2 linked regions of the Neodiprion lecontei genome follow. The protein of the gene in region 2 interacts with the protein of the main gene of each other region in a pairwise test. Links are inferred from orthologs where the notes say so. Each region holds a gene or a part of one and is shown on either strand. Other genes may lie near its edges.

Region 1 (3,758 bases), about 14 Mb from region 2:
AATTATACGGTCGTTTACAAATATTTGCTCCTTTCTCAATTTTCAGTGTTTCGTGCCTGTAGAGAAAATTGAAAAACAATGAAATAAATAAACAAATAGAAATTTACTACTACTTATATACCGTGGAAATTACAGTACAACAAACAGAAGCAAGTACCTATTATACAACTATACATAATAACACATACTTATAAACAATGAATGGACACTAAAATTAAATAATACAAATTTTTCAAATCTCTTATTTTCAGGGAAAGTAAATTTACATTATAACATAAACATTTGACTACACTATGATGCTGATGCTGATGATTATGGTGACAGTGATGATGATAAAAATGATGATGATATGATGATGATATTTTAGAAAGTTAAGATTTTACTGTAATAAGGATATGATTATATTTACTTGTAATATATAATTAAGTATGGATAAATTGATTTACGTGTTAAGGAACTATAATGTAACGTTCTGTGATTCGTTGTTTGTAGGTGAAATTTAATAAATGAATACTGTATCATAATAAGATATCCAGAAATTACTAAGTATATTTCAACCAAAAATAATATTTCATTATAATATTATTTACATTTTTGCGAAAATAGAAAATTCGAGGTAAAAACATTGTGAAACCTTATCGGAGAGCGGCTGTGTAAGTATACATTGTATACAACATACGATCTATGTGCATTTTATAATATTGAATCATCGTGATAGCGACTATTTAAAGCTCACCAAGCTCACAATACTAACAACAAGTAAATGTGAGAGAGATTAAACATTACGGGCTCAAGCTTCATTACAACTAGCGGGAAACAGTGTATATATGTGTACAGTTAATCTTATGTGCAGTATGACGCAATTGCTATTTATACGGAGCCTATTGACCCGTTATTCCATGTGGGCTGTAACATAATTCAGTTGAATATCTCGCGCAGGTTTTTAACTGGATAATAGCCGATTCGCAAGCCAATTAGAACCCACGCTCCAACAGAAATCACCGAGCAGACAGCGCAACGCGGAGTTATGGAACACCCGGCGATTACCCCACTTACTGAACACCCGTCGCTCTTCCGCACTCGCGTATAGTATCGAACGTGGAATCAACGACGACGAATGTGCCGAACGAGAATTTAGGTGAAGTCATTCTGAGCAAAGGTGTGTTGTTTTGTACCGTTTAGAGTGCACATTGTGAGCCGTAAAGTGACCGTTTGAAAATTAGATTTTAGGGTTGGTGCGGGAAACGATAATTAACCAAAAAAACAACGGGGCTGACAGTCCGTTCGATATTCCGAACACTATTCGGCCCGCTGCCACACCCCGCGGCCATTTTGGTGGATAACTACTGTGTACAAAGTCTCAATCATGGATCAAATAACACCCAAGGAGATTAAGATCCTTGAAAATCCTGCCGACATACAGGAGCGCAGGGATCAGGTCCTTGGACGTTACGCTAATTTTAAATCCGAGGCTCGTTTGAAGCGGGACAAACTTGAGGACTCCCGTCGCTTTCAGGTATGCCCTTTGGTGCTCGTGTACGTGTATGCGGGTGTGTATCGTGCGTTTTGACAGACGGAAATCGGTCGGATCAATCGTGTATTTTCGTCTTAAATTTATTTTCAATTAATCGCTGAAATAAATGAAACTGGTTATTCGATTCTTGATTGAAATCTTACACTAACGGGTACGTTGTGCATTTTTTTCTCCAGTATTTTAAGCGAGATGCGGACGAACTTGAGGGATGGATTTACGAGAAGCTCCAGGCCGCTTCCGACGAGAGTTACAAAGACCCGACGAATCTTCAAGCTAAGATTCAGAAACATCAGGCGTTCGAAGCTGAGGTAGCCGCTCATTCAAACGCCATCGTATTGCTCGACAACACAGGCTCAGAGATGATAGCTCAGCATCATTTCTCCTCTGACGTTATTCGCAAGAGGCTTGGTAAGCGTAGATTAATAGTTAACTGTGTTATTTCTTTCCCAAATGTAACAAGTACCCTTCGTTCATTTCTTCATACTTAACTGTAATTTTTGTATTATTAGAGGAACTGCATCGTCTTTGGGAGCTGCTCCTTTCTCGTTTGGCCGACAAGGGATTAAAACTTCAACAAGCTCTTGTTCTGGTGCAGTTTCTTCGTCATTGCGACGAAGTCATGTTCTGGATCCACGATAAGGAGGCTTTTGTCACTACAGACGAGTTTGGGCATGACTTAGAGCATGTCGAGGTTCTTCAGAGGAAATTTGACGAGTTTCAGAAAGATATGGCTAGCCAAGAGTACAGAGTAACAGAGGTTAATGAACTTGCTGACAAGCTTCTACTGGATGGGCATCCTGAGCGCGATACTATTCTCCGTAGAAAAGAAGAGCTAAATGAATCTTGGCAGAGGTTGAAGCAGCTCGCTATTCTCAGGCAGGAAAAATTGTTTGGTGCCCATGAGATACAGAGATTTAACCGAGATGCTGACGAAACTATGGCCTGGATTGCGGAGAAGGACGTCGTTCTGTCGTCTGATGATTTTGGCCGCGATTTGGCCAGCGTTCAGACACTTCAGCGCAAGCATGAGGGAATAGAACGTGATCTAGCTGCTCTGGAAGACAAGGTGGCCACTCTTGGTGCCGAAGCAGATCGCCTGGCTGCTATTCACCAGGCCGATCATTCCCAGCAGATCCAATCAAAGCATGCAGAAATATTGCAGCTCTGGGAAAGCTTGACGGCCAAGGCAAAGGAACGAAGATCCAAGTTGGACGAGTCCTACTACCTTCATCGATTCTTGACCGACTACAGGGATCTTGTTTCATGGATGAACGATATGCGAGCCATTATATCTGCAGACGAGCTTGCCAAAGACGTTGCAGGAGCAGAGGCGCTGCTGGAGCGACATCAAGAACACAAAGGAGAAATTGACGCACGGAAGGACAGTTTTGACTCGACTGCTCGTGCCGGTCAGCAACTTCTTGATAGGAAACATTATGCAGCAGATGAGGTAGCCAGGAAGTTGGAGTCTCTTGCTGAGGATAAGAAGTCCCTGTTAGATCTTTGGGAAAAACGTCGCATTCTGTACGAGCAATGCATGGACTTGCAGCTATTTTATCGGGACACAGAGCAGGCTGACGCCTGGATGGCAAAGCAGGAAGCATTCCTGGCTAACGAAGACCTTGGAGATTCCCTGGACAGTGTAGAAGCTCTAATCAAAAAACATGACGACTTTAACAAGTCCCTGGCTGCTCAAGATGAAAAAATCAAAGTGCTAGATGACTTTGCCCGTAAGCTTATCGAGGGTGATCATTACGCGGCTGAAGATGTATTCCAACGTCGGCAGCTCTTGCTCGAGCGGCGAGGTGCCCTTCTTGATAAATCTGCTCAAAGAAGACAGCGTTTGGCTGATGCTTACACGCTTCAACAGTTTGAGAGAGATTGCGACGAAACCAAGGGTTGGGTGAATGAAAAACTCAAATTCGCCACTGACGACAGCTACCTAGACCCAACGAATTTGAACGGCAAAGTACAGAAACATCAGAATTTCGAGCAGGAGTTGAATGCAAACAATACGCGCATGGAGGAAATTCTCAGCACAGGGCAAAAACTGATCGACGAAGAACATTATGCCAGTGATCGCATTCGTGCACGTCTTGACGAAATCACTGGTCTTTGGGACAGTCTTGTTCAGGCGACTGACAAAAAGGGATCTAAATTGCAAGAGGCTGCACAGCAGCAGCAATTCAATCGAACCGTTGAAGATGTTGAGCTGTGGCTGTCT
Region 2 (3,758 bases):
CTTTGGATGCTCTGACACGCTACAAGTATAATTTTGTTAATACGACTCAAAATTTCAACTGTACTATTCTCATTCAACAATCAGGCATATATTCGAAGTAAGATATAATTTGTGAATTTGGAATTTTGTGAATATAGGGCATTGAACTTTTGAGTATTTAGTTCTTTTCTAGAACTGAAAATACATTTAGTAAATAATGTATTATTCGGATTATAAAATTTCAACCACGCCAAATGCAATTTCAACCTATGCAGGTAGCAACGATAACTCAGTACATAATATCAAATTTCTGTTTCATTTTTACTTGAGAAATGCAATGAATTTGCGCCTAATAGCTGCAACACATAACGCATCAAACAAATGTAGAGCTACACGAAATAAAAAATTCTAAGCTCACGCCTGCGCTCCAGAATATAGCTAGATTCCTGTTTACGCCCTCAAAGCCTCGATGTGGGCTGTCAAATGACAGTTGCAGCCTCAAAGAACAAAAAAAATTGGTTGCAATCAATTGTGTGATGATATACGAAGCGTTGTGAAATAACTGGCAGTGTTTCAGGAGCCTGGTAACACTATCTTAATTCTTAGGTAATAAAATGTTAATTTCGAGGTTGGAATGATGATTTTCAGAAAATACACCGAGTACGTACGCATATCCGAAAGACAAGTTTCATCTATGGAATCGCTGGCACTCTTTTCAGACCACCAATCACTATTTTCCCAAGGTTTCTTATCCAACTCCAAGCAGCGCACAGTGTTGCATAAGACTCAATAATAGCACAATGATTGTGGTCAGTTCTTTGACCTACAAGTCTGTGAATCTGGTGATTCTAACCAAACTTTAAAAAACCACTCACACGAGTCATAGTTTCTCTTCTGTAAGAACATGAGCCACAACAAGCAATTTAATTTAAAGCACTCTAACCTTGTCAGTGATTCGATATATTAAATTATTCCTCACATTTCAGACGGAAGAGCTGCTAGACCGACCACAAAAGCCAGTCATCACTGATGCTTGAATAATAAAGAAAACCTGAATAATTAAATAAAATTTGTTGATGCAATGGCTGTGATAAAACATGCGCTAAAACGAGAACTGTTTGCGCCAGCCGATCAGCAATTGCTTAGTCTCTGTCATGTTTGTAAGGCTTTTAAAAAAAAAAAGACTAGCTTTTTATGTATCGTTAGAACAACTGACACCCCAGGCTCACTATTGCTTTGCCAAGTTAAAAAAAATGACAAGAATGTCTACAAGAAAAAACAGTCCTGGCCTCTGACTGATATACAAATGGTTGATGGTGTCAATATTGACTCGCTGGACCTGGAAATATACATCGATAAGGTCTATAAATGGACAGCCACCTACGCTCAAGAAAGAACAACGTTCATACGGAATTTATACACATATTCTTGTAGCATGCCGCAAAGACCTGAGTTTAAAAATATACCCAGTGATTGGATGATCGATCCTGCATCTCTTAAAGAAAGCGACAGCATTATTTTCACACCGGGTAAATAATTTTCAAACAACCTTGATGCTGTTGTTCAGAAAGATACATGTATCATTATGTATATTGAATTTTTTCAGATTTGTTGTCTCAACCTGTATCTGCAGATTATCAACCAATTACTGACAAGGAGGCTACGTATCTAGCATCGTTGATGGCAAGTTGTGACTATGCAGTCTCAGATGCAGAACGTTTTATGGAAACACTCTCTAAAGATCTATCGATATTAGATGGGGTAAGATATTCTCAATTTTTAAGGCACCAAATAATCAGTAAAGATAAAACATGTTAATAAATGTGAATATTTCTTACTTCAATAGCAAAATGTACAATCGGTCCTAGTTTCCGAGCCTCAAGTAATTCAATTAATGAATGGTATCGAGGCTGCTATTACCGAAGCATCCTTAGTAGAATCACGTCTTGCTGTCTATGACGAGGCACTTGGTAGAATCAGAGATGCAATGGCTAGAGTTGGTCAAAAAAACCAAGCCATTCATACGGCTAATCACAACGCTAGACTTCTCCTCGAACAGCTTGACGCTGTAATTGTAAGTGTGTAACTACAAGGATTCTGCCTGAGTATTCTACAATCTACAGATTTTCCCACTCACCTTTCGAATTTTTACTCAACTAGACACAACTGGATATACCAGCAGAACACCAACGCACATTGAGCGAAGCAGAACTTCCAGGAGGTAGAGAAGAGCTCGGACGAGCAGGAGTAGCTTTATTGAAAGCTACATCTGTTCCTTTACCTCCTGGTCTTGATAAATTAGGAGCTGCTTCGGAACAACGTCGGCGTCTGGACAAACTTAGAGCTAAATTCTCTTTGATTGTAGCCAGGCATCTGAACAATCTATTCATACACTTGGTTTGTCTCTATTTTCTCTTTCTTGCCGTATATTGCTTTAGGCAATAGTCTGTAACCATTATCTTACTTGACTTGATTTTCAGGGCAATGACACAGGCGAAGCCTCAACCTCGACAACAGATCTTACGCTGCCTACGCATCAAGCTGTACATCGTGAACTAGAACCATACACCGAATTGATGAGATTACTCAGAGCTTTGGATAACAAAGCATTCACTCAATTAACAAAAGTGTACACTGGCACCATGAGCAAATTATACCAGAGAGACCTAAAGCTATTTTTTGAGGAAGCAAAAACTCGCGTTACTAGCAAAAAACTTAATGGTGGGTATATATAACCTTACATAAATTCAGCCATAGTATATACGCAAAAGTAAACATTTTGTTGTGCATCTTACATATATTCACAGCCAATACATCGAAATCTAGTGGACAAAAAGGGGATGACTTGGTTAGTCCAGCGCCTCTTTGTCTCTTGGGTGGGGAGGTTTGGGCTCCTCAAGGAGAGGGAGCCCTCTTAGATTCTGTTCTAGATAGAGCTCTTTCTCAATTGCAGCCTGTCTGTCTCGCTGAACAAGCTTTTTGCGTTTCGTTTTTCCAGCTTGACTCGGTTCTGTCGCCCGTGAAGGTACAAAATATTTCTTTACTTACATTTCGTTGAATCACAGGTATATCGTTAGTTGCTTCTATTAGTTATAATATAGCAATTGATCAGTATATAATGCGTGAGGTGATTAATTGTTAAAAGGGAACTGAAGCGGACGAGACTGATAGTATTAGCAATGGAGCAACAAGTCCCGGATCAGCAAATTCTACTGCCAGTAAAAAGTTGGAAAGACAAGTTAACGAAGAAGTTAGAGCTACAATGGCTGCAATATTTCCATCCCTTGAGCCTGAATTGAACAATTTTATATCATATTTGGATAAAATAGACAGCTTGTAAGTTATTAGATTTCCGTTATCCTTAGCATTAATATTTCTGTCAAATAACTATAATTTACCCGACAATTCATTATCAGTTACGTTTGTAGTAAGAAAAATATTACTGTCCAACAACTTTAATAACAATAACAGCAAGTGAAACATTTTTTTTCCAGTTGGTGTTTATATGTACTAGTGCGGCTCTCACAGCACGTAATGTCAGCGCAGGATACGGGATCTTTTCTTTCAATGACATTTGCATCTGCACTTGTACAGGTGAAGAGATCGTTTGATAAATTTATGCAGGCGCAACTACAGTCTATCTTGCGTGACCCCAAAGTCAACCGTCGAACCAAATGTGGAATATTACCTTACGTTGAAAATCTTCAACCCTTTGCCCGAACTGCAGAACGGATATTCAAAAATTCTGATAGAAAAGTCGATCTAGAGAAGTGGTACAC

The links. The genes of interacting proteins can lie anywhere in the genome.
Region 1: the proteins of exocyst complex component 1 (region 2) and spectrin alpha chain interact in a two-hybrid assay, tested with the Homo sapiens proteins (2 studies listed by BioGRID and IntAct). The link is inferred for Neodiprion lecontei from reciprocal best matches to the Homo sapiens genes EXOC1 and SPTAN1.

The regions. Positions count from the first base shown.
Region 1 is NC_060263.1:15,581,251-15,585,008, forward strand, and holds the start of spectrin alpha chain, read left to right. Parts: upstream 1-1,071; 5' UTR 1,072-1,159; exon of another isoform or gene 1,160-1,223; 5' UTR 1,224-1,366; coding exon 1,367-1,516; intron 1,517-1,710; coding exon 1,711-1,942; intron 1,943-2,043; coding exon 2,044-3,758. UniProt on the Homo sapiens protein: Fodrin, which seems to be involved in secretion, interacts with calmodulin in a calcium-dependent manner and is thus candidate for the calcium-dependent movement of the cytoskeleton at the membrane.
Region 2 is NC_060263.1:29,175,894-29,179,651, reverse strand, and holds the start of exocyst complex component 1, read left to right. Parts: upstream 1-1,060; coding exon 1,061-1,508; intron 1,509-1,585; coding exon 1,586-1,740; intron 1,741-1,825; coding exon 1,826-2,053; intron 2,054-2,139; coding exon 2,140-2,376; intron 2,377-2,459; coding exon 2,460-2,700; intron 2,701-2,786; coding exon 2,787-3,004; intron 3,005-3,124; coding exon 3,125-3,315; intron 3,316-3,473; coding exon 3,474-3,758.